4 linked regions of the Elephas maximus indicus genome follow. The protein of the gene in region 1 interacts with the protein of each later gene in a biochemical or structural test. Links are inferred from orthologs where the notes say so. Each region holds a gene or a part of one and is shown in the gene's direction. Other genes may lie near its edges.

The links.
Region 2: the proteins of SGTA (region 1) and BAG6 form a complex in vitro, tested with the Homo sapiens proteins (4 studies listed by BioGRID, with this or other methods). The link is inferred for Elephas maximus indicus from reciprocal best matches to the Homo sapiens genes SGTA and BAG6.
Region 3: the proteins of SGTA (region 1) and HSP90AA1 form a complex in vitro, tested with the Homo sapiens proteins (2 studies listed by BioGRID, with this or other methods). The link is inferred for Elephas maximus indicus from reciprocal best matches to the Homo sapiens genes SGTA and HSP90AA1.
Region 4: the proteins of SGTA (region 1) and UBL4A form a complex in vitro, tested with the Homo sapiens proteins (3 studies listed by BioGRID, with this or other methods). The link is inferred for Elephas maximus indicus from reciprocal best matches to the Homo sapiens genes SGTA and UBL4A.

What each region holds. Positions count from the first base shown.
Region 1 is NC_064821.1:3,524,336-3,532,313, reverse strand, and holds the start of SGTA (small glutamine-rich tetratricopeptide repeat-containing protein alpha), read left to right. Parts: upstream 1-4,667; 5' UTR 4,668-4,744; intron 4,745-4,757; exon of another isoform or gene 4,758-4,864; intron 4,865-7,978. Other genes in the region: THOP1 (thimet oligopeptidase), read right to left, coding at 37-52. UniProt on the Homo sapiens protein: Co-chaperone that binds misfolded and hydrophobic patches-containing client proteins in the cytosol. Mediates their targeting to the endoplasmic reticulum but also regulates their sorting to the proteasome when targeting fails.
Region 2 is NC_064819.1:93,182,322-93,190,211, reverse strand, and holds the start of BAG6 (large proline-rich protein BAG6), read left to right. Parts: upstream 1-4,571; 5' UTR 4,572-4,591; coding exon 4,592-4,686; intron 4,687-5,136; coding exon 5,137-5,257; intron 5,258-6,396; coding exon 6,397-6,514; intron 6,515-6,626; coding exon 6,627-6,826; intron 6,827-7,066; coding exon 7,067-7,120; intron 7,121-7,269; coding exon 7,270-7,344; intron 7,345-7,890. Other genes in the region: APOM (apolipoprotein M), read right to left, coding at 219-244, 664-762, 929-1,027, 1,124-1,197, 1,491-1,645, 2,038-2,151. UniProt on the Homo sapiens protein: ATP-independent molecular chaperone preventing the aggregation of misfolded and hydrophobic patches-containing proteins.
Region 3 is NC_064828.1:111,071,461-111,079,112, forward strand, and holds the start of HSP90AA1 (heat shock protein HSP 90-alpha), read left to right. Parts: upstream 1-4,414; 5' UTR 4,415-4,525; intron 4,526-4,988; coding exon 4,989-5,150; intron 5,151-5,249; coding exon 5,250-5,616; intron 5,617-5,954; coding exon 5,955-6,088; intron 6,089-6,401; coding exon 6,402-6,722; intron 6,723-6,936; coding exon 6,937-7,102; intron 7,103-7,265; coding exon 7,266-7,456; intron 7,457-7,575; coding exon 7,576-7,652. UniProt on the Homo sapiens protein: Molecular chaperone that promotes the maturation, structural maintenance and proper regulation of specific target proteins involved for instance in cell cycle control and signal transduction.
Region 4 is NC_064846.1:1,935,029-1,941,789, forward strand, and holds UBL4A (ubiquitin-like protein 4A), read left to right. Parts: upstream 1-4,577; 5' UTR 4,578-4,670; coding exon 4,671-4,718; intron 4,719-4,945; coding exon 4,946-5,051; intron 5,052-5,285; coding exon 5,286-5,512; intron 5,513-5,629; coding exon 5,630-5,740; 3' UTR 5,741-5,879; downstream 5,880-6,761. Other genes in the region: SLC10A3 (P3 protein), read left to right, coding at 306-336, 593-672, 1,942-3,489. UniProt on the Homo sapiens protein: As part of a cytosolic protein quality control complex, the BAG6/BAT3 complex, maintains misfolded and hydrophobic patches-containing proteins in a soluble state and participates in their proper delivery to the endoplasmic reticulum or alternatively can promote their sorting to the proteasome where they undergo degradation.

The sequences.
Region 1 (7,978 bases):
GGAGCCGGAGCCGCGCTGCCGAGGGACGGCCGATACCTGCGGGCGGCTTCATGGCGGGCGGGTCCGCGCCGGCGGTTCCCTCGCTCCACCTGGTCCTCGTCTAGGTGCCTCGGACACCGCAGCGGCCGCCTGAGTTCACTCGGTCGCCGCCGCTGCTCCCAGACTGAGGTGCCCGCCGTCCGCCGTTCGCAAGGCATGCTGGAAGAGCGCGTGCGCGCCGAAGGCGGGACACTGACGCACGCCTGAGCCCCGCCCACACGTCCTGGCGGCAGGCCCCCGCGGACTCACGCCTAGCTTACGCCATGACCCTGCCAGCTCCTCATTGGATCTCAGAAGCGGGAGGGGCGGAGCCTCGGGCTCCACCCCCGGAGCCGCTGGCCGTGTCCATGGAAACCGCACGTGGGGGTGGAACCTCTGAGCGTCTGGCCATGAGGCTTTTTTGGCGGCAGCTCTTCACGTGCGCTTCTAGCGCCAGTATTTTTTTCTTTTTTTAAATAAGTTATTTGATTTTTGTTGTTGTTGGGAATATACATAGCAGAACATATACTAATTAAATAATTTCTACACATGCAATTCAGTAACGTAGGTTACATTCTTCAAGTTGTGCAACCATTCTCACCCTCCTTTTGGAAATTGTTCCTTCCCCATCAGTATAAACTCATTGCCCCCCTAAGGTTCCTACGTACTGTTTTGAGTTGCTGTTGTCAATTTGACTCCATATTGATAGCTCTTTTAAAGCCTAAAACTCAGTATTAATTTGTGCTTGTCTCCTTTCTAAGATGCCCTGGTGGCACAATGGTTAAGCACTCGGCTGGTAACTGAAAAGTCGCCAGTTCAAACCCACCAGCTGCTCTTTGGGAGGAAGATGTGGCAATGTGCTTCTGTGAAGATTATAGCTTTAAAAACTCTATAGAGCAGATCTACTCTACCCTCCGGGGTCACTGTGAGTCAGAATCAACTTGATAGCAATGGGTCTGATCCTTTCTAACTTATAACTGTGTATTCAGGTAGATTTACAAGTCTGCTCCCTCATGGAAGATCCTCACGTTTTTGTATGTTATCACACTGCCAGAAACCTACCCAGCTTCTAAAAAAGAAAAAGTTGCTGTCTAGTCCATTCCTACTTGTGGCAACCCCCTGTTTCAGAGTAGAGCTGCACCAGGCACCACGGAAAAAGCAAAATTACTAGAATTAAATGGCAAAAAAAAAAAAAAAAACCTACCCTTTTTATTCTGCAAAAGAAATGAAAGTAATCGAGGGTATTAATCACACCTATGATTTAAATAGGATAGAAGCCAATTGAGAGAACACTCTGGTAACTTTAGCCGGATGCTGGTGGTCAGTTGTCAGTCATCACAGAGAATTTCCTGTCACTCACTGTAATGAACTGAATCGTGTTCCTCAAAAATACGTGTTGCAGAGCCTAACCCCTATGCCTGTAGTTATAATCCCATTTGGCCATGGGTTTTCCTTGTCATGTTAGTGAGGCAGTGTTACTGTAGGAAATCCCTGATGGCACAGTGGTTAAGAGCCCAGGCTGTTAACCAAAAGGTTGGCAGTTCAAATCTACCAGCTTCTCCTTGGAAATTCTATAGGGCAGTTTTGCTCTGTTCTATAGGGTCGCTATGAGTCAGAATCAACCCAATGGCAAAGGTTTGTAGTAGTGTAGGGTGTGTATTAATCTCTTTTGAGACATAAAAGAGTAGATTAGTAAGCAAGCAACAAGCAAGCAGAGATGGGGGACTATAGATACCAGGCCACAGGAAGATCACCAAGGAATGGAGGGGCAGAAGCTATAATGAGACAATGAGCTTCCCCCAAAGCTGACAGAGAAAGCCTTCTATAGCCGACACCCTGAATTCACACTTCTAGCCTCCTAAACTGTGAGAAAATAAATCTGTTTGTTAAAGCCACTCACTTGTGGTATTTCTGTTATATCAGCGCTGGATAACAAAGATGCCACCCTCTCACTCTTTCAACTCCAGCCACAGTTTTTTTTTTTTTTTTTTTAATCCCTTGGGCCAAAAAAGAAACCAAACCCTTACCAGACAGTCAGAGTAGAACTGCTCCATAGGGTTTTCTTGGCTGTACTCTTTATGGAAGCAAATCGCTAGGCCTTTTTTTCTGCAGCTCCGCCGGGTGAGTTCAAACCACCAACTTTTGGATTAGTAGCCAAGCTGAAACCATTCTCGCCATCCGGGGACCTATATCTTGAGCACACGAAGCTTGATTCTAACTCATTCTTTGTCCCCCCACTTCCCTGTGATAAAAAAAAAAAAAAAAAACAGTGCCATTGAGTAGATTCCGACTCGTAGCAGCTCTGTAAGACAGAGTAGAACTGCCCCATAGAGTTTCCAAGAAGCGCCTGGCAGATTCGAACTGCCAACCCATTGGTTAGCAGCCGTAGCACTTAACCACTATGCCACCAGGGTTCAAGAGGCAGCTGACCTAAAATAAAATGGCTGAACTAATCCTAAGATTCAATGTAACCTCTAACACAGAATCCACCTGCGTTGCTTAGGAACCAACACTATCTTTAAGGAAATGATTCTGTTTGAGGTCAGTATAAGAATGTGGATAAACAAACCTTATCAAAACTCTTTTGTGTTAGAGGTAGTGTTTAACAAACTGTTCCTGGAAGTGTGGTCATGCTATTGTTTTGTGACAGTCATGAGACCCCATCTGAGACCACCTATCTTGTTTGTAACTATGCCTTTTAGCCAATCAATGTATTCCAGCTGTATTAACGTAACCAATAATGTTAAAAATCATTCTTCATTTTGTCCTGCCTTTGACAGACCTCAATCACTGTGTCTTAGTCAGCTAGTGCTGCTATAACAGAAATACCATAAGGGGATGGCTTTAACAAAGAGAAATTTATTCTCTCACAGTCTAGTAGGCTAGAAGTCCAAATTCAGGGCATCAGGTCTAGGAAAAGGGTTTTTCTCCCTGTGGGCTCCGAAGGAAGGTCCTTATCATTAATCTTCCTCTGGCCTAGGAGCTTCTCAGCTCAGGAACCCCGGGTCCAAAGGACGGGCTCTGATGTTGGAGCTGCTGTCTTGGTGGTATGAGGTCTCCTGTCTCTCTGCTTGCTTCTCTCTTTTATATCTCAAAAGAGATTGGCTTAAGACACTATCTAATCTTGTAGATTTCATCAGTATAACTGCTGCTAACCCATCTCATGAACATAATAGTGATAGGATCAACAACACAGGGAAATCACATCAGATGACAAAACGGTGGACAATCATACAATACTGGGAATCATGACCTAGCTAAGTTGACAGATATTTTGGGGGGACACAACTCAATTCATGACACGCCATAAACCAACCAGAATATTGTGCTTTGTAGTTCCTCCCACGGCACTATAACTGTGTGCACCCCCTCCCTTGGATTCCTTGAGCTTCAGACTCTGAGTTTCGCATGATTCCCAATCAAATGATTCATTGGCTTCAATAAATCTCTTTGACTTTAACAGAGTTAGAGACTCTTTTCTCTACAACACCTGTGCCTGAGCACTTTCCCTCTGCCTTTTGTCATCCTTCAAATCCGTATCCAAAGGAGAGACCTTCCCTAACCATCCCAGTACATTTAGCTCCCCAATCACAATTACCCAAAAAACACCCATTGCCATCTCATAGCGATCCTATAGGACAGAGTAGAACTGTCCCATAACGTTTCCAAGGAGTGCCTGGTGAATTCAAACTGCTGACCTTTTGGTTAGCACCTGTAGCTCTTAACCACTACACCACCAGGGTTTTCAGTCACAATCACAGCACCCCGTTTTTTCTTCATCGTGCTTGTCACTAAGTGAAATTTTAGTTTACTTATGAACTATCTTACGCGTTTATGAAGTCCCTGGGTAAACAAACTCAGCTGCTAACCAGAAGGCTGGAAGTTTGAGTCCATCCAGAGGAGCCTTAGTAGAAGGACCTGATGATCTACTTCTGAAAAAATAAAAAAAAACAACACAAAGTAATTGGTGGCGCAGTGATTAAAGCGATCGATTGCTGATCTGATGGAAAGGTCAGTGGTTTCATGAGAGGTGGAAGTGGGAGGAAGATGTGGCAGTCAGCTTCTGTAGAAATTAACAGCCTTGGAAACCTTATGGTGTCGCTATGAGTCTGGAGGGCAGTGGGTAATAACAATTAGAGCAGACACTTTGTTGGTCTTTATAGTTGGTTCGCAGTTAACATTTATTGAGCGAATACAAATATCTGTATTTGCATGTATATCTCTGTACTCCTTTATGTCTTACGAATTGAGTGAATGAAAGAATGCATTTTAGGGTGAGTGCGTGGATGGGTGGAGAAATAAATTAACAAACTTAGCGAGTAACACTCCTCCCATTCATCTAGCGCCTGTGAAGTTCTGGGGTACGGGGTGTCCAAACGCAGCTGCACCACGTGGCCGGCTTGGAGCACGTGGTCGGCTAGGCTGTCTCGCTGGAGTCCTCCTTCGTCCCACAATGCACCGCTCTATCCCGGCTCTAAAGGGCAAGCCCTGAAATGCGTCCCCATTCGGTCAGAGAGGTCAGTTGCCCTAACTACCATCTTGAGTCCGCCTCCAAAACGCGTCACATCCGACCACGCCCTGCTCGATCATTAATGCGCCTGCGCAGGATGAATGCCGCCGACAGCCGGTTGCTTCTGCGCAGGCGTCGCGGCCGAGGGGCGGGGCCGGGCGGCGCCGCGGTGCGCAAGCGCAGCCGTCGGTGGGTCGGGGCTCGACTGTCTGAGAGGTGAGGGGGGGTCCGCGACGAAGCGGGCTGGGTTGGAGTCCTCGGTTCGGGGTTCCTGGGGTTCCCGAGCCTGGAACGAGCGAGCGATCTAGGGCCGGAGTCGCCACGGCACGCGAGTCTGTGAGTGGTTGGTGCAGAGGGGAAACTGAGGCAGGGCGGCTTCGAGGCGGCCCTGCCTGTCATCGTCTCGCTGTCCCGGTCCCCGGGGCTGGAAATGCTGGTTCGCAGGCCCATGGCGAGGACGAGGGGCGCGGTAGGCGCTGGCTAAGTGTTCGCTGCTGTTATCGTTCTCATTACCTGCTCTGAAACGCGGTTCGTTTGAATCGGGAACCCCTTGGTGGGCGCTCAAGCCCCGCCGCTGCCGCTTTCTCTCTGGGAGACCTGGGCAAGCCGTTGGATCTCTTGGAGTCTCAGTTTTCCCCTCTGTAAAACGGGCATAGTCACAGTCCCTGTCTCGGGAGGATTCTTGAGGGGGTTAAAGCCACCTGCCAGCACCAAGTGAGAGCGCTCCCAAGGGTGGTGGTGGTTTGCTGCCTTCGAGTGGGCTCCGACTCAGTGGTGACCCCACGTAGAGCAGAAGGAAAGGTTGCCCCGTCTTGCACCGTCTTCATGGTAGTTGGGCTGCTGGAGTCCACGGTTGCAGCCACTGTGTATTTTAAGTGCCTTCCATCCTACAGGGCTCATCTTCCAGCACTACATCGGACAGTGTTCTGTTGTGATCCATGAGGCTGTAATTGACCAATTTTTGGAAGTAGATCGCCAGGCCTTTCTTCCTAATCTTAGTCTGAAGGCTCTGCTGAAACCTGTCCACCGTGGGTGACTCTGTTGGCATTTGAAATACCAGGGGCATAGCTTCCAGCATCACAGCAACATTCAAGCCCTTATAGAAGGAGTGACGGTGGAGTGCTAGTCCAGAGAGTTAGGTCTTATTTTACATTTAGGGTCTTTGTGTATTATGCTGGAGTTAGGAAAAATCTGGCATTGAGAACCAGCTGCATCACCCGCTCGCTGGCTGTGTAAACTTGGGCAAGTCCTCCTCTCCTCTCTAAAAAAAAACTCAGTACCAACTCGTGGCACTCTCCTGTGTGACAGTGGAACTGCTCCATGCGTTTTCTTGGCAATAATCTTCACAGAAGCGGATTGCCAGGCCTTTCTTCCACAGTGCTGCTTGGTGGTTTTGAACTGCCAACCTTTCAGTTAGTAGTTGAGCACTTAACCATTTGCGCCACTACCCGGGATCTTTCTCTCTAAAATAGAGATTGTAAAAGTAGATGTCCCACGGGGTCATTGTGTGGGTTAAATACTCATAAAATACTCTCTAGTCAGGTGCTTGGCGCTTGGTAAGAGCGTATTAGAGATTGATTGTTCTTGTTATTGAGTGCCATCTGGTAATATTTGTGCAGTCTGCATCCCTGCACCAGAATGATTTTCCTGGGTTTTTTGTTGGTTTGTTTCCGGCTCTGATTGTTTTGTCTGCTGTTCCTTTCCCTAGACAGTGGTTGTCAACCAGGGTAATTTTGCCTTTCTCCCCAGGGGACACCAGGCCATGTCAGGGGACATTTGTGGCTGTCACAGGTTGGGGGAGGTGCTCCTGGTATGGAGTGGGTGGAGGGCAGGGACACCACTCAGAACGCCACAGTGACCAGGACGGCCTCACCCCCAAGAATGACCTGGCCCCAAATGACGGCAGTATCAAAGTTAAGCAGATCAGTGATTCTTCACCAGCCTGGCCTTCTCAGGGGGGTCTGTGGACCCCCCAAATTATGTGCAAAGTTTCATGTGTGCCCCCATTTTTGTGGGAAAGGGAAAATGCTTTTAGAGTTTAGTCTCTGGACTCAGACTGCCTGGGTTAAAAACTCTTTGATTTGTAACTTCTTAGCTCGGTGATTTTGGGGGCCCCCTCCCCACCTTTTGTTGTTAGTTGCTGTCAAGCTGGCCTCCGACTCATAGCGACCCCATGCACCAGGGGGATTGGACCGTTGCGATCCATAGGGTTTTCACTGGCTGATTTCCAAAAGTTGGTCGCCAGGCCTTTCTTCCTAGTCTGTCTTAGTCTGGAAGCTCTGCCGAATCCTGTTTGGCACCACAGCACCATGCAAGCCTCCACTGACAGACGAGTGGTGGCTGAGCCTGAGGCGCATGGGCTGGGAATTGAACTAGGGTCCCCCACATGGAAGGCAAGAGTTCTACCACCAAACCACCCCTGCCCCCTCCCTGTCTTTCTAAGCCTTAGTTTTTTCTTCTGTGTAGTGGGGGGTTGTGATAGCGTTCATTCTAGCTTGTGAGGATGAAACAAAGCAGGGCTTCAGCAAAGTATGACTCGAGGGCCAAACCCACGGCCAGGCCGGTTCATTTGCACGCTATCTGTGGCTGCCTTCACGCCACAATGGTAAAGTTGAGTTGTGGCAACAGGGACCTCATTTATGGCTCACAAAGTTGAAAGTATTGAAAGTATTTACTCTCTGACCCTTTTCAGAAAATGTTTACTAACCCCCGAAATAAGCTGTCGCATGTAAAGAGTCTGGCAAGATACCTGGAAGGTCCTAGGCACTCCAAGGATGTTAGCCGGTTTATAATTAAACCTTCCTAGAAGGTTTTTTTTTAGAAGGATAAGTGACTCTGGCCGCGTTAGCCACTGCCCCAGGATCAGAGGATCTCTAAGACTGGTGGTCTTAAACCAGCGGCCACCAAGTCACCCCGACTCATGGTGCCCCCCCATGTGTCAGAGTAGAACCGAGCTCCGTAGGGTTTGCAGTGCTGATTTTTTGACAGTAGACTGCCAGGCCTTTCTTCTAAGGCAGCTCTGGGTGGACTCAAAACTCGAGCATTTTGGTCAGCAGCCCCAAGCTCTTAGCTGTTGTGTTACCCAGGGAGTCCTCAGCCGTCTTACTCAGTTCTGTTTTTTTTTTCCAAGACCCAACAGTGGCCCTGCTAGGAAATTCTCAGGAAACATTTGAAGAAATAAAGGGGCTTGTTCATAATTAGGCAAGGCAAGGTTTGTTATCTTGTCTTCTGACGAGGAAACCAAAACCCAGCGAGAAATGTCTTCCCCCGAGGAACTTGATGGCGCACCTCTGAACTCAACGTGATCTAACGTTTTCTTGCGTCCATACGGACCAGATGCTGCTGGATGCTGGAAACTCAGAGGAAAAACTGACTTTCCAAGGGCTCACAGTCTGGTGGGAAAACAGGTCCGTGGTCGTCGTTAGCTGCTGGGCAGTTGGCCCCTGACTC
Region 2 (7,890 bases), on another chromosome or scaffold:
CTCAGTGTCCTTCCTGACGTCGTCCAGCTGGGGGTTTAGTGGGAGTGTTGAAATGTGCAGAGTAGGATTGATATCTGGAGACAAACCCCAGAATGAGGACTGGAAAATCATCTTTATTATTCTCGAAAGGGAGTTGGAAGTCTCTAGCTAGTCTCCTCCCACCCACCACCATCACAGCTCCCACAGTATCCGTCTGGGGGCACAGATGAAGCCACAGGTCAGTTATTGGACAGCTCACAGGCCTCTGGCAGGAGGGAGGAAAAAAAAAAAGATGGAAAGGAAGAACAGGGAGAGAAGCAAAATTGGTGGTAATGAAGAAGGGAAGAATGCGTTCCTTTATTCCGCCATGTTCCTTTTTTCCAAAAAAGGATCTCTGAGGACTTTTTCCCTCCATGACTGACCCTTTACCCATGCAAACTCAGAAACCCCTCTTTTGAGTAGCCCAGAGTCCAGCCTGGGTTCCTCAAGTGACATCACAGCCCTTGGCCACCTGCCTCTGGTGCCATCATAGCCTATGACACAAATGGGAGTGTCAACATAGCCATTCTGATGATGTCAGCTTTGGCCATGTCGTCCTATGATGTCACATGAGCCCCTTTCATCCAGCACTCCCAGAAGACTTGCTCAGTCCTAGTCCTCTACTTTAGGACTTTAACCCCTCACCTTGATCCCTGGGCATCAGTAAGAAAGCCTTGGAATCCATGCAGGAGGTCAGGGACTGGAATTCCTCCACACATTTCTCGGGAGGGTGTGGTGAGCGATCTAGAAGGGCAGAGCAGGGTCAGGCTAGTTGAGCCCCTGCTCCTCAGCACAGCCCCTGGTGAGGGCCTCATGGAAGCACTCAACCCTCCCTGGAGTCATATCATAGGGCCCAGAGTGAGGGGCCCTCCTGCCCTCTCTGATCCTTCCTGCTTTGCACCCCACTCACTATAGAGGAGGAAGCGCTGGTAGCCCTGGCCCATCTCTTTCAGCATGATTCCACCTGGGCATGAACTGGAGAAGAGCTCGGTTTTCATGTCAGGACGGCCTGTGAGGGTGGGTGGGAGGAGGGGGCGAGGAGAGAGATGCAAAACCAAGCAAGCCTAGGGGACTTGGGGAGGGTCAGGGGACTTGGGGAACCAACCTTCAGTTCTGAGATGAGTGCTTTCCTCAGTCAGGTGGTAGGTCCATTTCCGGGGCACACAGAGCCCATTTTTCCTGCATAGGTGGTAGTGGCATGGAGGAGAAACCGAGTGACACCCCGGCCACACAGCATCTGCCTCCATTTATTCCATCTTATTCCTCCTTGAAGCCTGGATCTCCTTGGGTTTCAGGCTACCAAGGGATGGTTAGGTCCATCTCTCTCTGTCAGAGGGAAACTAATACAGCTTTTGAACCAAGTGGGCCAAGAACAGTGAATGTATCAGCCAAGAGCACAGCTCTTGGTGGTGGGTGCTCACACTTTGGTCAGAGACTGCACCCACTGGTGCCTCTGCCTCCTCATCACTCACGTTCGGATGGTAGCATGAAGCTGGAGCTGTATCGGGGTAGAGGCAGCAGCCATGTTGAAGACAATGTTGTCCACAGGGTCAAAAGTTGCCAATTCTTCCCTGGTGGGAGCTGCCCCTGCGATAAAGTACCACCGGCCAAGGTGGGGCTCTGGGAACTGGAGAGACAATGAGGGGAGCAAAAGAGGGTGGGTCCCATAACAGGATCCATTCAACCTCTTCATCAGCCAGTAGGAGAAGACTTAGGGGTAGGGTGTGGGCTGTTTTCCTCTTTCTAATTGGGTAATGGATCTATCACACAGAGTCATCAATGACATTTCCCCTTTGCTCCTCCCCAATCAACCTGGCTAACCAAGCCCACTCCCAATTCTGCCATGTCTCCACATCGATGACTACAGTCCTAGTATTTTTCTTATTCTTGCTTTCATCATCCCAACATTTATACCCTCTTCCTACTCTCCTTTCCCAACATGGCTTCTAGTCATCCTAGGCCACCCAGCTGAGTCCCTGAGAGCCTCTATCATAGGCTTCCCTCATTCCCAGTCTGTACCTCTTTCCCATCCATTCCTAGAGTTGTCAGTTGACTGTGCTCAGGGCACTGGTAGATGGAGTTAAGGAGAATTCCATAGAGGTAGAGCAGAGCTGCCCAAATTTGGTGGAACATCTTCAGGCAGGAGGGAGCCGATGCCCTGTGTGGGGTGGCTGGTGCCTTAACTGCTCTCTCCCCTGCTGGCTGCTCAGTCTACTCTACTCCCAGCCCCCTTGCCTTGACCCTTGACCCTTTCACCTGCTAATGAGTAACTTCAACCTTGTTTTCCAACCCAAGTCTGGATTTGGACCTTCCTCCCCCTCCTCTAGATGCAGCCACTCCACAGTATACCCTGGTATGTTCAGGGTCTCTCGGGAGTTATGAGAGCTTGGGTTTTCAATCCGCATCTGAGCTGGATATCTGCTATGTTGTGCAGCAGTGAAGTGGGGTTGCTTTCATTCCTTCACTTAGCAACCTGTTTTGAGTCCCATTTGTTTGCCAGGAACTGGCTAAGCCCTGGGGACATAAGGATGGATAAGACATAGTCCCTGGCCTTGAAGAAGTCTGGGGAAAACCAGCTGTACAAACAAATCATTGCAATACAACCTGATAAGTGCTTTAGAGCAGGTATGAACCAGGTACTGGGGTGGGATGGGTGGGAGACTTTCTCTCTGCAGGAATTTGTAATTGGGGAAACTGTATCTTTGTAAAAGTTTGCTGACAAAATGGGTTCATTCACTGACCTTTATTGCTAAGCAAGAGGCTATATAATCTAACGGGTAAGAGAAAAGACTTTGGTGTTAGGAGGACCTGGGTTCAACCCCCAACTCTAGTTATTAGACCTTGAGCAATTTTATTAATCTCTGTGCCTGTTTCTTCATCTGTAAAATGGGCACATATGAATTTCATAGGGTTAAATGAGATGATATACATAAAGACCAGCAAACGCCGGCATGTGGTAAGCTCAAAGTAAATTACTAACCATAATTAATGGTAATGTCTGCAAGAAGTAGTAATTAAATAGTGCCAAGTGGGTGGTGCAGAGTTAATGCAATGAGAGGTGGGGCTTCTCTATAACACGCAGACTGCAAAAAAAAAAAAAATTGTCCTCAGCAATGAGGGTTGCTGTGGGATTGTGATTTAGTTAAAAAAAAAGAAACAAAAAATAATCTGGGTGATGGGTATATGAGTGTTCATTATACTATTCTACTTGGGTATGTTTGAAACTTTTTATAGTAAAAAAAAAAAAAAAAATACAATTTATTGGGGTAGCAAAGTGTAAGTGCTGGAGCCGGAGTCTGGCAGGCCTAGGACTGATTGTCAGTTCTGCCACTTATGTTCGCCTAGGTGTACTCACCTATAAAACAGATGTAATATCTCAGACGAAAAATTTACTGTGACCACAGTACGTGAAATTTTAGTATATTGCTTGACACTAAGTGCTCACTAGACAGATCTTATTAGACCTCTTCATTTGGGACTTGGGTATGTAAAAACTATAAATTTTGGAAAAGCACCCCCTGAGGCAGGCATCTCAGCAACAAGGGGTTTAGCTGGACGGGTCGTACCGTCGCAGGGCCGAAGACCCTGCCCTTGGGGGAAGGGCAGAGAGGAGCAATAACTCAGGCAGCCCTGGCCTGCCAAAACCGTTTGGGTCAGAGTTTCGTCTTTCGGTCCCATCTGACTCCATTTGCCACAATTCCCAAACTTGGACGGGTTTCTTGACAAAATTCCCGAAAGGTAGGGCAGCATCCTTAACTTTCCGAAAGGATGGCGTGTCCCCTCGGCCGCGAAGCCCACGGTAAGGAACATGGCGCCCGGACCCCACAAAATGCCCACCGGATAGAACTGAGGACCGACGAACGATAGGACCTCACGCAACAGAACGGACAATACGCGAGTCGCCACCAACCGCCTGCGGAAAGGTAACTTGCTGAGGCGCCGAAGGGCGCAGCGAGGTCTACACTGACTGGAAGGCAGGGTTTTAGGTGGCCAGAGCAGTGCCGCCTGAAATTCTCTGCCTGCCAGGACTTTAAAATAGATTAAATGAGGCATAGTCTCAAATACTCAAACTTCAAGAGCCATGCAACAGTCCAAAGCGTCTCTCCAGGCAGTCGTACAGTTCCAGATAGTAATTTATTTTCAGGCATTTATCGTGGCCACCTCAACCTTTGATCGCTCAAACGCACGAACATGAGAAGCGGGGGGTGGGGACGTGCTTAAGGACGTACGCATGCGTACTGCAACTCACGCAGGCGCAGTACGGTCCCCCGGGCGACGGCCGTGGCGGATCCTCGGGGTGCTCGGCTCCTTCCCATCTAGGCCGCCCCCGGCCCGTCTCGCCCCCAGGGATCCATTCCGTTGGGGGCCGCGGACTTTCTCGTCGTGCCCCACAAAAGGAAAGTTTGGGGACCTGGGGGGAGCCGGAAGTACCGCCTTGCGATCCCCAAATACTATCGGGGAAACGGAAGTGGCCGTCGGTGGCAGGTTGGGAAGACCGGAAGTGACGGTACCTTGGAGAAGTCGGGGGTGGAGCTGCGGGGAAGTGTGTATGTGAGAGTGTGTGTGTGTTTGTATGTGTGTTTGGCTGTATGTCGATTGTGCCGCTCTGCTGGATCGCCGAGGGAAGGCGGAAGACGGGGGGCTATCAGCTAGCCGGTCCCGCCCCCCGTGAGTGTCTGCCGTCTGTCGTGACTTAGGCGGGTTCGATGGGCGTGGCGCGCGTGCGCGAAGCTATTTTCTCCGCAGTGTCTGGCGCGACCCCCGCTCTCGCAGTGTCCCAGGGTTTGCCGATCCCTAGGGCCCTTGTCCTATTGCGACCGGTGATGACACTGGTCTCGTGCTTCCTCCCCTGCTTTCTAATCCGACTGGCCCTCGTTATTGTGATTGGCGTCTTGGAGCCCCTCCCACCTCCCGTCCTCCAGCTCCCTTTGCCGTCGATCCCTTGCCCTTTGTGTTTCTCTGCCCCGGAATCGGAAGGGGGATGGGGGCGGGTGTGAGTGCGAGTGCTTGTGTGGGAGAAACTTTTTAGATATTGGGGCGGGGACTCAGGCTGGGGAGGCTTCCGGGTATATAAAATCTGCTCCAGGCTACAGCGGATCTCCCTCCATTCTTCCCTAGAGAACTGTCGGCCATGGAACCCAATGATAGTACCAGCACCACTATGGAGGAGCCTGACAGCCTGGAGGTGCTGGTGAAGACCTTGGACTCTCAGACTCGGACCTTTATTGTGGGGGCCCAGGTGAGACCCTGTTGCTGTTGGAAGACATTGATTAGCTTTTTCTTATAGGCTCCTTAGCCTGAGGGAAGAACCTGATTTTCTCGTCCCCCAAATTTTCTGACATTGATTTGTTTGTTGGTATTTTATACAAAACGTTTCTGGTGTTTCTCGTTGAATGAGAAGGTAGAGTTTCTGATGAGTGAGGCACATTTTCTGCCTTACTCTTTTTCTTTAGAACTCATTGCAGAGGGAAATACAGAGGAAGGGGCCATCTGTATCCCATCATTGTAGGTGATCGTCAGCCCAAAGGGGCAGCCATAGCTCAAACAACACACGGACCCAAAACAGAAGTGTGCTTTAAGAACAAAAATTGGCCAGGTGTATACCGTGTCTTTAAGGCTAGAAATCAGAGCTAATAATGAATGTAGAGCTCATATAGACTGCTGGGTGGAATTATGAATGTGGCATACTTTTAATTTCTTGAGTTTAATATCACGGATACAGCTACCTGTGTTTTTACTCCGGTGATACTTGGAGACAAAATTGTGACTGAGTTGGTTCATGGGTGTTTAAAACATTGTACTCCATGAGTATTTAAGAAAACCACGTAGATTTTTGAGGTTAGATGTCACGTAAACATTTTGGTGTTTCCTAGAGTTGTTTAGTTATGAAAAATGTTTTGTTTTTTGTTTCCTTCTTGCTTACTTCTTGGTTGGATCTTCCCTTCTTAACCTTCACCCATCTTCTTTGTCATTTCTCTTATTTTTGAGATTACAGGGTTGTCTGTGGTAAAGAAACTTCTGGTATCATTTTGTGTTTCGGGAAGGGTGATCCCCTCTGGCATCTTGAGACACACGTTCCCTTGGGAGTCAAGCATAAAAAGAGAGAAAGGAATGTCAGTTGGTTTTTCTGTTTTTCAGCTATGTAATTCTTTTCTGGGCATATAACCTGAGCTTATCTGAGTTTGTTGTCTGTGTCTTGATATATTTTGTCTGTATCTGTTCTCAGAAATTTGCATGGTAACTATCTCACAGTCAACATAGGTAGTGATTTTATTACGGTTTTTGCTCCTTATCTGGGCATGAGTCAGTTGTCACTCCTCTGTTCCTTCTTCCTCCCTCCATTTCCTGATTCCTATTCTTATCTTTTCCTCCTTGCAGATGAATGTAAAGGAGTTTAAGGAACACATTGCTGCCTCTGTCAGCATCCCCTCTGAGAAACAAAGGCTCATCTACCAGGGCCGTGTTCTGCAGGATGATAAGAAGCTCCAGGAATACAGTAAGGGGGTGGGGGATGGCAACTCAGAGGTTGAAGCTGGTGTGCAGAGTGATGTGCTGACATTATGGCTTTACCTGATGTTTTGGTGTGTGTCTATCTTTTTGCACCACAGATGTTGGAGGAAAGGTTATCCATCTGGTGGAACGGGCTCCTCCTCAGACTCAACTCCCTTCTTCTGGGGCATCTTCTGGGACAGGGTCTCCCTCTGCTACCCATGGTGGGGGACCCCCACCTGGTACTCGGGGTCCTGGGGCCTCTGTTCATGACCGGAATGCGAACAGCTATGTCATGGTTGGAACCTTCAATCTTCCTGTAAGCTTGTGTTCCACTTGGGAGGGTTTTTTTGGGTAAGGGTAGATTTGGTTGTGGTAGTAGCAGGGCGCTTGTAAGACAGGCGTCTTAGTCTATAGATTGAGTTTGGAGGCTCCTTTGGTCTGATATTGGCCTCAATCTTTGAAGGGAAAGGGGGCGGGGCTCCAGAGAATGAGTTGAAAGTATGGGGGCCTTAGTATTTGGCTTCTCCCAGAGCAACTTCACTTACCCTTTCCCCAGAGTGACGGCTCTGCTGTGGATGTTCACATCAACATGGAACAGGCCCCGATTCAGGTATCACGGGGCCTGGGAGGGTCAGGGAAGGGGATCTGGGAGAAGGAGGCCTTGAGGTGGGGTGGAGATGGCTGGGACCTCGTTTAGTAGGCGGTGGAGCTCATGGCTTCATCTCAGACCTGCCCTGATCATCCCTTCTCTTGCCATAGAGTGAGCCCCGGGTACGGCTGGTGATGGCTCAGCACATGATCAGGGATATACAGACTTTGCTATCCCGGATGGAGGTAAGCAGGCAGGGCTGGCTAGTGTGTGTCTGTCTCTCTCTGTGCATCCTCTTTCTGTCATCCTGGGGATGGGGGCATGACTGGCTATATCCACTGCTTCCCTAATCTGGTCTCTTTTTTGCAGTCTTCATTCTTTCAAGCAGAAAAAGTATCTTTGTGGGGCTATCTTGTCCCTGCTAGTCTTCTTGGCATCTAATATCTGGGGAGTTTGTTTCAGACTTTTTAGATAATTCTGACGGTCTCTGTTTGTTCCATTAAAAAAAGGTTCCGCCTATTTTAGTTTATTTATTACTTTTAACATCAGAACGTTTTAACTCCGTTAGTTTGAATTGCAGCTGTAATTTGTCGCCTGTTCTTCTTTTGTCCTGGAGATACAAAAACTAGTCTGTACTTTTTGTTAGTAGCTTATTTACGAATCTTATAAATATTTATTATGCTCCTGATTTGTGTCTTTTACTAGTTCCTGGGGAGTCAAAAATGTAGACACAAAGCTTTGCCTCCAAAAAACCTAGTTAGAGCATGTTCTCTGCTCAGTCTCTTTTGACC
Region 3 (7,652 bases), on another chromosome or scaffold:
GGAGAACCCATGGCTGGGGGGCTTGATGAAGCAGGCAGTGTTCATGTGCTCCAGACCTGTACCGAGGCAGGCCCAGGAGCCACAGCCAGGCTGGTCCACAGACAAATGTGAAATGCAACTGGGATGAGCACTGGAAGAAGAGGTGCCCACTCCTCCACCCCTGTTCTGAGAACCCCTTTATAAGAGAGATTTTGACCCAGTAGGAAGCAGAGTTTGGGGTGGGGTAGGGTCACGTGAGCTAAGATGCGAAGGTCCCTTAGGAGTTACTCATAAGAACAGAGAGCAGAGGGGCAGGTGACGGAGAATGAGGCGTGAGAGAAGGGGAGTGCTGGCGCTGAGTAGGGGGAGGGTGGGGGGGAACATGCAGGGCCTCGTGGCCTGGTTGGGGGCTGTGCCTTTCTCTTGGGAGTGAGGATTTTGGAGGAGGGGGTATGGAGGAAGGACTGATGGGGTCAGATAGGAGTTCTAGACCCTCTCCCTGGCTGCAGAGGTCATCCAGGGGTGAGCAGGTGGTTGTGGGGACAGGGTGGGGGAGGAAGATGGAGAGCATGGCAGAGCTCAGTGCCGGCTCCCCTGTGGAGATGCATGAGGTTCTGGAAGGTGGCGGGCAGTCACCTGGCTAGGGGCCCTGGGAGAGGGCCAGTCAGGTATGGGGTGCTCATGAGCTCTGCATGCAGGTGTGGAGCTAGAATCCTGGCCAAAGCTCTACGGTGAATCACCTGCACAGCGGCCCAGGACCACCTGGGGGCGCTCTGCCCCAAGGCCTGCTAAAGGATGTGAAAACCCAACGCAGAGTGACTCAAGCGGAGAAGGGCAGTCAGCAGTGTGGAATGATTCTGAGACAGGAAGTCAGGGCTTGAAACATCCTTTATTTAGCAGCTGAGTGGGGAGAGAGCTGGAAGGGCCAGAGGTTTGCAAGGAGGGAGAAATTTAAAGTTGGACTTGCAAGGAAGCAATGGTTCCTGGTGACAATGAGATCCAGGAAGTGACCTCGGGGTGAGTTTGTTGAGTGGGCGGCAGGGCAAGTGACCCCCCCCCCCAACAACCGGTAGCCACAAATGGGGTCAAATAACTTCAGGGCCAGGGAGGTGAACAGTTCATCTCTAAGAAATCTTAAACCTCCTGGGCAATGGCAGAAGCTGGATGGGAAGAAAGGGCGAGCAAGTCTCCATGTCAGGAGGGGCCCAGGTGCCAGGTGCGGGGGGTGACAGGACAGGATGGGTGGAGGCAGGGCTCACCGGGTGGTCAACGCTCTGCACCGGTGAAAGTAGCAACAGGAGCCTACAGATACCAACCACCCCTCACCCCTTCTGCTTCCTCTCCCTCTCAATCCTCCCTTGCTCCCCGGCCCAGGCTGCATGGAAAACATGTCTAGAACATTCAAACACATCCCGAGGTAAGACATGCATTTACAGCATGACCCAGCACGTGTATGTTGTTAGGTGCCTTCAAGCTGGTTCTGAGTCATCATAGCAACTCTATGCTCAACAGAATGAAACACTGCCCGTGCCTGCACCATCCTCACAATCAGTCCTATGTTTGAGCCCATTGTTGGAGCCTCGGTATCGATCCATCTCATTGAGGGTCTTCCTCGTTTTCACTGTCCCTCTACTTAACAAGATAACATGTCTTACTGACAAAGATTAAAGACTATACCCTCCAATATGGGTTACACCTCAACATAAAGAAAACAAAAATCCTCATAACTGGATCAATAAGCAACATCATGATAACCAGAGAAAATACTGAAGTTGTCAAGGATTTCATTTTACTTGGATTCACAATCAACGCCCACGGAAGCAGCAGCGAAGAAATCAAACATCATATTGCACTGGGCAAACCTACTGCAAAAGACCCAAAGCATTAAAAAAACAACAAAGATGTCACTTTAAGGACTAAGGTGCACCTGACCCAAGCCATGGTTATTTTCAATCGCCTTATATGCATGCGAAAGCTGGACGATGAGTAAGGAAATAAGGAAGAGCCAAGAAGAATTGATGCTGGTGAATTAGTGTTGGAGAAGAATACTGAATATACCATGGACTGCCAGAAGAACAAACAGGTCTCGGAAGAAGTACAGCCAGAATGCTCCTCAGAAGCAAAGATGGTGAGACTTGCCTCAAGTACTTTAGACCCATTATCAACGCATACATAGGTGCATATAACAGACACTGCACTCACACAGGTCCGTGGGTGACACAAGTGGTTTGTCTTCAGCTACTAACCTAAGGGTTGGCGGTTCAAACCCACCCAGCAGAGCTCTGGTAAAGATTAAGACCCAAAAAACCAAACCCATTACTGTCTAGTCAATTCTAACTTACAGCAACCCTATAGGACAGAATAGAACTACCTTATAAAGAAAGTTCCCCCTGGTGGCGCAATGGTTAAGAGCACACAGCTGCTAACCAAAAAGTCGGCAGTTGGAATACACCACCAGTCCTTGGAAACCCTATGGGGCAGTTCTACTCCGGTTTGAAAACCCTGCTTCAGGAAAGGCTGAGTTTAGCAGGAAAGGCTGTTTCCCTAGAGATAAGGAAGTGGAGAGAGTGAACTTTGTAAACAAGCTAACCTAACAGGTGGTTCGCACCCACACCCATTGGACCTGGGTTAAACACACTTCACACGTAAGGAGCTTCCAGAGGATTGTATAAACTTAAAAAAAAACAAAAAACAAACCAGTGCCGTCGAGTCGATTCCGACTTATAGCAACCCTATAGGACAGAGTAGAACTACCCCATAGTTTCCAAGGAGCGCCTGGCGGATTCAAACTGCCGACCCTTTGGTTAGCAGCCATAGCACTTAACCACTACACCACCAGGGTTTCTGAGGGTTGTACGGGGCCCTCAAATATAAGAAATAGAAGAGGGTCAATAGTGGGAAAAGCCAGGAACAAAGAACCCAGGAAAAGGGATGCGTTTGTGAGGGAGGGGACTGAGGCAGGGAAGTGGGCCGGTAGGGGTGCTTGGACACCAACCCTGTGTCCTGGGCAAGACTAAGGTGTTGACCTGGACAATGTCTAAGGCACCTACCTCCCCAAGATTCTTTCAACTCTGATCTGGCATTGTTCAAAACACTTGGGGAATTCCCATTTAAAAATTGGCTTTTGGGGTAAGTTAATCACCCAAGCCGTAAGTTAAGTACTTCGCAAGGATACACCTTATTAAGTTAAAAAAAAAAAAAAAAAAATCATGACGTAACGATTAGCTGGGTGAACATGAATTTGTTCACTAAATCCCAGAATTCCAGACGGAAGGAACCCCGAAGTGTGAAGGATGTGGTCTTAACACCTTTTACAGAGGACTGCAAATGGGGCTGGGGCCCTCACGCTAGTCATTTAACCAAGGCTCCTCGCTCCTCCCCCTGCGCATAGTGGGGCATACGGACAGGCGGTCAGGGCAGCCCACTGACCTTCCGGTGGGAAAGGAGCCCCGAAATCCCAGCGGAGGCCTGTCTTCGGGGATCCCTGTGGCAATGGGTGCTGCAGACCACCCGAATGACCGGCTTCGGCGCTCCTCGCTCCCTCCTAGGCCACAGGATCACCCGCCACCGGACCCCCGAGGGCCGCCTCTTGTCCAAAAATGATCTCTCCTCCCGGGCTTCCTTCTAGTGAGCGTCAGAAACGGGGGCCAGTCTGCCTCGTATCCACTGTCCGCCTGCCCCGTCACCCCTCACTTACGCCCCATCCTGGGCCAGCCCCCCGAACCACCCACCCGCTGCTGCAGCTCGAGCCCTGGCCCCCAGTATAACGACACCCCAGAAGGCGAACCAGCGGGGCGGGGGCGCCAGACCCCGGGTTCCAGTGCCCCCAAACCCAGCACAAGACCCCTAAGCCCCGAACAGGCCCCTCAATCGCTGCCCCAGGCCCCTAACCCGGCCACCAAAGCGCTGCCCCGGCGGCTGCAGACCCTGAGGGGTCCGAAGTGTAGACAACCGGGGACTTTCTAATTTACAACATGGCCACGCGCGCTCATTATTCGGGCCCACGGCCCCGGGCTCGGAGGGCGCGGGCAGGCGGGAAACCAGCAGGTCGCGTGGCCGAGGTGGGGGCGGAGCCCATGGGACAGCTTTGGGGGAGAAACGGGGCGCCGGGGACGGCGGGGGGGGTTCCGGGGAGGGCGCCCGGGGACGGCGGGGGGGGGTCCGGGGAGGGCGCCCGGGGACGGCGGGGGAGGGGTTTCGGGGAGGGCGCCCGGCGGCGGGGGGCGGAGCGCCCGGGCGGGCGGCCGGGCCCCGGAAGCGCCGAGCCGTGCCCGAGCTTTCCGGGCCGCGCAGGCGCACTGGGGCGGCGCGGCGGTCCGCCAACGGAGGGGCCGGGGAGGGGCTGCGGGCCAGAGCGCATGCGTGGGCGCGCGGCCGCGGCGGCGGTTGGGGAGGGTTCTTCCGGAAGGTTCGGGAGGCTTCTGGAAAAGGCGCCGCGCGCTGGGCGGGCCCGCGTCTATATAAGGGAGGCGCGGGGGCGGCGCGCCAGTTGCTTCTGCGTCCTGGTGCCGCTGTGTCTCGGAGCCCGTGCCGTCCTTTCGCCAAGGTGAGGGGGCGTTTGGGGGTCCCTGGGGGGCGGGGGGCCTCCGGGCGAGTCCAGCCGCGGCCCCTCGGCCCACGTTTCGGGGCGGCCTGCGTGGCCTCCCCCGGCCGGCCGGGTCCGCGAATGTTCTGGAGCGCGGTGGGGGAGGGGCCGCCGGCCGCGGGATCCTTTCTCGGGGGCGCCCGTCCGGCCGCTCCTCCGCCGGCCGCGTCGCGGGGACCCCCGGCGGGGCTCATGGCGGCGTCCCCACGGCCGGGAGCGGCGCCCGTTGCCCGAAGCGGCCTCCGCGAGCGCGCACACGCCGCCCGCAGCTCCCCGCTCGGAATGAGGTCATCCTTTGTCAGCCGGCCCCGGCGCCCGGTCTCCCCAGATCTCGCTGAAACGGGGCGCCAGCAACGCCCGCCGGACGGCGGGGACCCGGCCGCGCCCGTAGTGCGGTGTTCACGCTGCGCCGTGTCCTCCCCAGATGCCCGAGGAGACCCAGACCCAAGACCAGCCCATGGAGGAGGAGGAGGTGGAGACGTTCGCCTTCCAGGCCGAGATCGCTCAGTTGATGTCCTTGATCATCAATACATTCTACTCCAACAAAGAAATCTTTCTGAGGGAGCTGATTTCAAATTCATCAGATGTAAGTCTCTTTTCAGGCCACAGTTTGGTTATTGTTTTAGCGAAAATGTCCGCATTTTGGGGGCAGTGTGTTTGACGATAACGTCTTTTTGATGAATAGGCTCTGGACAAAATCAGATACGAAAGCTTGACGGATCCCAGTAAGCTGGATTCTGGGAAAGAGCTACATATTGATCTCATTCCCAACAAGCAAGACCGAACCCTCACGATTGTGGACACTGGAATTGGGATGACCAAGGCCGACTTGATCAATAATCTTGGTACCATCGCCAAGTCGGGTACCAAAGCGTTCATGGAAGCTTTGCAGGCTGGTGCAGACATCTCCATGATTGGCCAGTTCGGTGTGGGGTTTTATTCTGCGTATTTGGTTGCTGAGAAAGTGACCGTGATCACCAAACATAATGATGATGAACAGTATGCATGGGAGTCTTCGGCAGGAGGGTCCTTCACAGTGAGGACAGACACAGGTAGGCACCTGGTGGGTGGGTTTATCTCGGGGGTTGGGGGGTACTGTAGGTACTGTAGCATCCAGAGGTTGCTGTGAAATTTGTGAATGCTTTTTGCCCCATGTAGTCAGGCGCCAACTAGGGAGCACTTACTAGTGTCTGGTGTGCTGGTTATTTAGAGCAAGGTGCTTAACTGCTGTGGGAGGCTTATTGTAATAATGGTATCCTGCTTCGTAGTCATAATTGGGGGATTAGCTATGGTCATTCTTCTTGACTGACATTAAGAGCTGAGTTAATTTTTTTTGTAATTGGGCTGAAAGATTAAAGTTGAGTCCCTTTGTCTTATTGTTCACTTAAAGGTGAACCCATCGGCCGTGGAACCAAGGTTATTCTGCATCTGAAAGAAGACCAGACCGAGTACTTGGAGGAGAGAAGAATGAAGGAGATAGTGAAGAAACATTCCCAGTTTATTGGCTATCCGATCACTCTCTTTGTAAGTTCCTAGATAGCTGCAAAGTGAATGTCTCCGTGTAGATCATTGACTTTTAGTTCTCAACGTTTGTTGATGAGGAGAAGGCCTAGTACCATTTTCTAGATTAATTTGAAGCTTTTTTGGAGACTAAGCAACAGTTTACTCAGTCCTGTCAAAAGTATTTAGAGCTATTAAGTAGATAATTAAGTACTGATGAAAAGTTTTTGGCTACTTAGCGTTTCTCAGTTTGGTTAGCTAACTTGGGTTTTATTCTTTTTAGCCTGTTTTTTAGTTCTGGAATGCAGGGATAATGTTGATTTCATGTCTTTTTGAGGTGGAGAAAGAACGAGATAAAGAAGTGAGTGATGATGAGGCTGAAGAAAAGGAAGAGAAAGAGGAAGAGAAAGAAAAAGAAGAAAAGGAGTCCGATGATAAGCCTGAAATAGAAGATGTTGGTTCTGATGAAGAGGAAGAAGAGAAAAAGGATGGTGACAAGAAGAAGAAAAAGAAGATAAAGGAAAAGTACATCGACCAAGAGGTACTCAACAAAACAAAGCCCATTTGGACCAGAAATCCTGATGATATTACCAATGAAGAATATGGAGAATTTTATAAGAGCTTGACCAATGACTGGGAAGATCACTTGGCTGTGAAGGTGAGTGAGGGCTGAGTGCTTCAAAACTAATCTGCCCCTGCTAGATAGTCTGTCTAAAATTGGAAGGTCAGGTACTGTGAACTTTTTCCTTTCTCCAAAGTGCTTTTGGTTGATGTAGCTGTCAGTCTACCTGCTGGGGTAATGGAGCTTTGAGTGAAAGTCACTTGCGTTGTGCATTGGCATTTTTAGTGAGTTGTGTTTGTTGTAATTGCAGCATTTCTCAGTTGAAGGACAGCTAGAATTCAGAGCCCTTCTCTTTGTCCCAAGACGTGCTCCGTTTGACCTGTTTGAAAACAGAAAGAAAAAGAACAATATTAAATTGTATGTACGCAGAGTTTTCATCATGGATAACTGTGAGGAGCTAATTCCTGAGTACCTGAGTAAGTATGGTTGGAGATGAAGGGTGGTCACTGATGTACAGAAGTTGTCAGGTCCCAAGTTCTTTAAGTTTTAATATATGGAAAAAACGTGTTTATATTCACACGTTTACGTATTTGTCAGTTTGGTACTTGAGTGTGTTTGGTCTTTTTTTTCTCCCCCCAGATTTCATTAGAGGCGTGGTGGACTCTGAGGATCTCCCTCTAAATATTTCCCGTGAGATGTTGCAACAAAGCAAAATTTTGAAAGTTATCAGGAAGAACTTGGTCAAAAAGTGCTTAGAACTCTTCACTGAACTGGCAGAAGATAAAGAGAACTACAAAAAGTTTTACGAGCAGTTCTCTAAAAACATTAAGGTTGGTAAACACGTTTGACCCGTTAGCGTTTTTCAAAGTAGTTTCCCACGTTCTCAGTTTTTTTTTTTTTTTAACATAGGGGAAGTTTTCTTAAAACTAACACTTGTGTCGTCTTTCAGCTTGGGATACACGAAGACTCTCAAAATCGGAAGAAGCTCTCTGAGCTGTTAAGATACTACACATCGGCTTCAGGTGA
Region 4 (6,761 bases), on another chromosome or scaffold:
GGCGCTGGCGTCGAGCTCCGCGGGCGCGGCAGGTGAGAGCCTCAGGCCGGGAAGGGTCGGGCAGGAGGTGGCCTGTGGCCTCTGGCCCAGCCCGGTTGCGCGCTGGCTCCAGCGCCAGGGGCCGGCGGGGAAGGACCGGACGCCGCGCATTCGCTAGGCCTGGCGTGGCCGTGCGTCCTGGGGGTCAGGCGAGGTTTCCTTTGCCCTCGGGGCCACCCGGGAGGCCCCCAACCTGCCGGCTGCGGGACGGCCGCGCGCTCCTTCCCTCCCTGGTTTGCGCCCACGAGTGAGAAGCAGCTCTGCTCATGGAAAATGAGACAACTTCCGGACTTCCAGGTAGGGAGGAGCCCTGAGACCATCACTGCCAACTAGCCCTCAACACTGAAAACCCGTGTGGACAAAGCCGTCCGGGGTCGAGATCCATACCCCGCCCTGGGGTGCATTCTGGTCAAACTCTTCCGGCCCTGCAGCAGAAATGGTTTAGGGTCTGAGCTGAACCTCTGTTGCGGTGACTTAAAGCTGGTAGCTGTATTGGTGTATTGGGAAGACGGGGGCCTGGGAGCCTTTATCTTTTTCCTCTAAATCCCTCCAGTTTCCTTCTCATGCCCCCATCTCTGTGTTCCTGCATCCCTCTTTTCTGGTGGGACGCAAGGCTGGACCAAGGCCTCCAGGGTAAGTGCCTGAAGCTCCCAAACCAGCAGAGCCCATGTCATCCTGGGGGACGCTTTTCCAAGGACCAGTCTTTTGCCTAAGCTGCCCTCCACTTCCCTCTGTACCCAGACTGGTGGGGTGGGGGGGTGAGGAAGGGGAAGCAAGGGCCAAACACTACTAGGAACTAGAGAAGCCAGTGGCTCTGCCAAGGTGTGAAGCAACCAGAAGTAGCGATGCAAAACTGCTGTGTTGCCCCAGTTGTAGCAGGTGATGCAACAATATTCACCATGAGGCACCCTTCACCCCAGTGCACTCACAGACACACTGGTAGTGAGAGATGCTGGTGGGGGCACATGTGGGGGTGGGAGACTAGCCTCCGAGCACAGCTTTCCAAATATGAGGTTGCGACTCCAGTAGCCATATTTGGAGACTGCCAGAGGAGTAGGAGCTCTGTCCAGAGGAGGGGAAGCTCCTCAGCAGACATGTGACCCTATTTGACCCCTTCCTGCTGCTTCTTCCAGCAAGTTCCTTGGGGGAAGGGGACCTGCTCCTCCTCAGGACTCCCTTCTCACCACTGCCAGCAGGCAGGGCAGGCCAGGTAGTCATGCCAGCCCCTTTCCCAACAGAGCACTGGTGGCAGACAAAAGCCTCTGGGGCCTTCCACCTGCCCACACTGTTCTGCTGGCCTCTGTGCCTAGCCTGAGGCACTCCAACTCCCTGGCCTGTTCTCAAGCGCTCCCAGATCAGGCTCAGTCAGCACCCTTTGCTCTCCTCAGGCGGGCCTCCTGGTCATCCCCAAGCAGTGTTTCGGGATCACATCCAGTTGTGGTATCACAGCAAGCCCACTGTCACTGTGTTTCGGAGCCCATGGGGATTAAACAGGCCTTGTATGTGGTGCTAGTGGTGACAGGCCTGGGGGTGGCTCTCCTCGAACCCACTGGAATCGGGGCATCTCTACGCTGCCCCTGGAGGGGCAGAGAGGGCATGTCCAGGGAAATTAGTAGTTATCAGCGGCTGACAGTAACTCATATCTGTAGCTGGACCCTCTGGGCAAGGGATGGGGGGCCACACTAGCATGTGGGAAACTTGAGGCAGCTGTGTTGGGGGAGGGGACAGCCGAATGGCACTTAAGGGCCAGCATCAAGCATTGCCCTTCTGTTCCTGGGCTTGACGCAAGAGGCTCTGCTAAGGCTTCCAGATCCCTATGCTACCACTCCCAGAGGGCCAAGTCTCACAGGCTCATGCTGCTGTCCGTCACCAGCCTCCTCTCTGTGTCCTTTCTCTCCTCAGGGAGAGCTCTGCCATCCAGGAAAGCAGCCCAGTACCTGGACTTGCCCATGGACTGTTCTCAGGACCAGCCGACGGTACAGGCTGGGGAGCCCTCCTAAGCTGCAGAGAACCCTGGTGCATGGTCCTTCAGGAGAAGCCATGGTGTTAGAGAGGCCTGGCCTGGGCAGGGTGGGTGGCTGCCCAGGCCCCCTCAGTATGCTTCAGGCTGCCTTGCTTCTTGCCAGCCTGCCATGGAGAGTCCGAGGAACAGCCAGTGGCAACCTCAGCACAGCTCTGGGCCACACTGTACCACTGATGAGGGCCCACTACCTGAGCATTGGGGACGGCTCAGTGATGGAGTTTGAGTTCCCCGAGGAGAGTGAAGGCATCATCGTGATCTCAAGCCAGTACCCGGCTCAGAGCAATGGGACTAGGCTTGGCCCCACGCTCAGGGTCACCTCCCTGGACACAGCGGTGCTGACCATCAAGAACGTGAGTGCCGTAAGCTGGGGTGGTGGGGGTGGCTTTGTGGTGAGCATCCACTCTGGCCTGGCAGGGCTGGCACCCCTCCACCTGCAGCTCATGGACCTGCATAAGGCCCAGCCCCTGCTGATCGAGGAACGGAGTGATTTCTCCATCAAGGTCTTGCCTGCTGAAGACGCGCCAGCCACCCTCAGTGCTGACCTGGCCCACTTCTCAGAGAACCCAATACTCTACCTGCTCCTGCCTCTCATTTTCGTCAACAAGTGTTCGTTCGGGTGCAAAGTGGAGCTCGAGGTTCTGAAGGGGTTCCTGCACAGCCCCCAGCCCATGCTGCTGGGCCTCCTGGGTCAGTTCCTGGTCATGCCCTTCTATGCATTCCTGATGGCCAAGGTCTTCATGCTGCCCAAGGCCCTGGCCCTGGGCCTCATCATCACCTGCTCTTCGCCCGGGGGTGGCGGGAGCTACCTCTTCAGCCTCCTCCTTGGAGGAGATGTCACCCTTGCCATTTCCATGACTTTCATCTCCACGGTGGCTGCCACTGGCTTCCTGCCACTGTCCTCAGCTATTTACAGCCACCTTCTCAGCATCCATGAAACCCTTCACGTGCCCATCTCCAAGATCCTGGGGACGCTGCTGTTCATTGCCATTCCAATAGCAGCTGGTGTGGTGATCAAGTCCAAGCTCCCCAGGTTCTCCCAGCTGCTGCTGCAGGTCATCAAGCCCTTCAGCTTTGTGCTCCTCCTGGGTGGCCTCTTTCTGGCCTACCGCATGGGCATCTTCATCCTGGCGGGCGTCAGGTTCCCCATCGTGCTGGTGGGCCTCACAGTGCCCCTGGTGGGCCTTTTGGTGGGCTACTGCCTGGCCACATGTCTGAAGCTGCCTGTGGCTCAGCGGCGAACGGTCAGCATTGAGGTCGGGGTGCAGAACAGCCTGCTGGCCTTGGCCATGCTGCAGCTGTCCTTCCGCCACCTCCAAGCTGACTTTGCCTCCCAGGCCCCCTTCATTGTGGCACTGAGTGGCACCTCAGAGATGCTGGCTTTGGTCATGGGCCACTTCATCTATAGCAGCCTGTTCCCAGTTCACTGAGGCTCCGGGCCAAGCTTCTACCCCCCTCCCCACTCTCCGCAGTTCTCGCGTACCAAAGGCCTTCAGTGCTCATGCACTATGCACTTGGAAAATCCAGGCTTATTTTTTGTACTGATTTTGTATTCTTCAGCTTTCATTGCCAAAGAGGCCATGCTGAGTTAGGTAGGTGGGCACTGCCCAGAAATATATTTCAATAAAAGAGAGAAGCAAGTTTGGGTCCCTTCCAGTCTCTGCCCTTTGGGGCCTGGGGGTGGGAGTGAGGTAAGAAGAGTGTGGCTGGGGAGGTGTGGGCAAGAGTGGAGGGCCAACTTGGGTGACACCCTGCACCACGTGTGCTTGGGGGAGTTGGAAAGGAGGCTTCGTCCAGGTCTGTGGTTTATGAGCTTCAGGCTCTTTTTCTGTCAGCCCCCCACCCTCATGCCATCCTGTGAGAGGTGGGCCTCTCTCTGCTCTAGAATATGAGCGCCAGGGGGGATGAGGGCAGAGCGGGGCTACCCTGCCTGCTCTGAGCACAGCAGTTGGTTTTTCTGCAGCCAGACTAAAAGGAAGGTGGGACAAAACCGTCAGACAGGGGAGCAAGTGTGGACAGGACTTGTGGACACCTGTCCCCTCCCTGGCTGGGCTCACTGAGAGGCAGACTCTAGGTTTGCTACTGAGCTACTCCACCAGCAGTCGGAGCGTCTGGAGGGCCTGAAGTTCCACGGGGCGAGCTTACTCCCAGCCATTCCTTCTCCCAAGCCCCATCTCCCAGATGAAGCAAACTTGGCCAACTCATTCCCCTTTTCCACCCTGGCATACAGTACTGGCTGGCTGGCGTCAGCCTAGCTTCCCCGCACGGTAGCGGGGTGGAGGAGGAGGGCGGAGATCCGGCAGTCTGGACCGGCCCTGGGCGTGGGCAAAGCCAGACACCAGAGGAACTCCTCCTCCCGGAGTGGCAGAGGGTGGAGCGGGGCGCGCTGGCCGGAGGGGGCGGGGCGAGGAGGGGAGGCGGGGCGTGAGGGCCGGGGGCGGGGCAAGCGCGGAGGGGGCGGGCTAGGGTGGGGCGCACAGGGCGGTTCCGGCGCGCGCCCGGGGCGGTGGCGGTGGCGCGCGGCGGGGGGCCGTTGGGGTGCGCGTCAGTCGAAGTGGACACTGCCGCCGCCGCCGCCGCCGCCGCCGCCGCCGCCGCCGCCGCCGCCGCCATGCAGCTGACGGTGAAGGCGCTCCAGGGCCGAGAGTGCATCTTGCAGGTAGTGTCGCCAGGCCCGGTCCACCCTGCCCCACTCGTGCACTCACCGCCTTCAGGCGCGGGGACGGGAAGGGACCAGGGGCGGCGCCGGCTCGGGGAGGGGACAGGGCAGGTCGGCCAGCCGGGGCGGGGAGGCCTGGAGAGCTGAGTCCTGGAGGGGCCTGCGAGGGCTTCACAGCCCAGCGAACTGCAGGCTCAACCCCTGCCTCCCAAACTCGGTCCGCTCAGGTGTCAGAGGACGAGATGGTGTCCTCACTGAAGCTTCTGGTCTCCGAGCAACTGAACGTCCCTGTGCGCCAGCAGCGGCTGCTGTTCAAGGGCAAAGCCCTGGCAGGTACCAGGGGAGTGGAGACGCCCAGGGAGCCCCGCAGGAAGGCGGGGGTGGGGTGTCGAGAATGAGACTGGTGGCAGTGTGACGCTCCACAGCGAGGCGGCTATCAGTGCTGCCCGCACAGAGGGAGCCGACACACCGGCAGCAAGACACACTGCAGTGCCCTTGCTTGGGCTCACTTCCCTGGGCAACTACAGCAGCTGGAGGTAATGAACTTCATCAATTTCTCCTTGGCAGATGGAAAACGACTTTCAGATTACAGCATTGGCCCCAATTCCAAGCTCAACCTAGTGGTCAAGCCTCTGGAGAAGGTGTTACTGGACCAAGGCACTGCTCGGAGGCAGGCAGAGGTCCAGCCCCGACCACTAGCTCCACCCTCAGAGACTTGGCAGCTGATCGCCAAAGTTCTGGGCCGACACTTCAGCTCAGCAGATGCCAACAGGGTCCAGGAACAACTCCAGCGGGTGAGAATGTAGCCCCATAAGCCCAAACCTCCTCTGCCACTCCAGTGCCCCCTGCTCCAGCCTCTGCTGACTGCCCCCCCCCCCCCAGCCCAAATCCTCCTGGCCTTCTCTCCTCAGGAGTACGAGAGGTCCCTGAGCCGCCTGACGATGGATGACATTGAACGCTTGGCAAGCCGCTTCCTGAACCCTGAAGTGACCGACGCTACGGAGAAGGGGCTCTCCAAATAAGATCCTTGGCATGTGGGAGGAAGCATGGCTGCATGTTGCATTAAATGTGTTCTCGTAATGTTAACAAAATAAAAACAGCTGACTGGTACTGGCTCTTGCTAGGTGCCAGTCACTGTCAAAGCACTTGACCTGGGTTCACTCACCAACCCCTCACAAAAGTGTGACAACACCGGCTCATACCAGTGAAGGGGATGGGGGCAGAATCTGAGTCCAGCCACCTTCTAGAAGTGCCTCACAGTGGAGCAGGGCAAGTGGTTGTTTACAACAGTTACAAGGGCTGAGCTGTGGTGTTTCATGGGTAGCCTACTGAGAGTAAATTCTCCATCGACTCCCTCCCAGGCCTGAAAGGGGAGGCAGCTGATGCCTGGGGCTCAGTCCTGCCACCTGCCCTCTACTCAGCTTCACAGGAGCTGATGTGACACATGTCCTGGCATATGACAGCCAGCCTTGGGGCCTTCCTCAGAGCCGCTGCAACCCATGTGCTCTGATGAAGGAAAAGTAGATCGGGGCTCTGTGGTGTGACTTGGGGCATGTGCCTGTGCCATGCTGGGCCCCAGCCATCAGCTCTGCTCAGTGAGGGCCACTCCTCCAATCTGAGTCCATCTTCCTTCAACCTCACCCCAGCCCAGCAGGGGGGAATCTCTGCAGCAGTGCTTCCCCCTGGGTTTGATAAACTACTGAGGCCAAAAAGGAAGCAATGGCCAAGCATGGACCAGAGACGGGGTGTCCTGGCCCTTCATGTCACGGCTCTCCTCTGTCTCCTCCCAGAAGGGGTCAGTTCTCGCCCATGAGGGGTGACAGGTGACTTGCTTGAGGACACTCATCACAGCACGGAAGGTGCACGTGTGCAGGGCCTTCCCCTTTCCACGCCCCTCCTCCCCTGAAGAAGCGGGGACTGGGTGGCACCGGTTTCTCTCTCCTTCACCTTGCCCTGTCCAAGAGTGCAGAAGGTCATCTAAGCCCCGTTCCTTTGAGGAGGGCCCTGGGTGGTAGAGGCTGGAAGGAAGCCATGTGCATATGG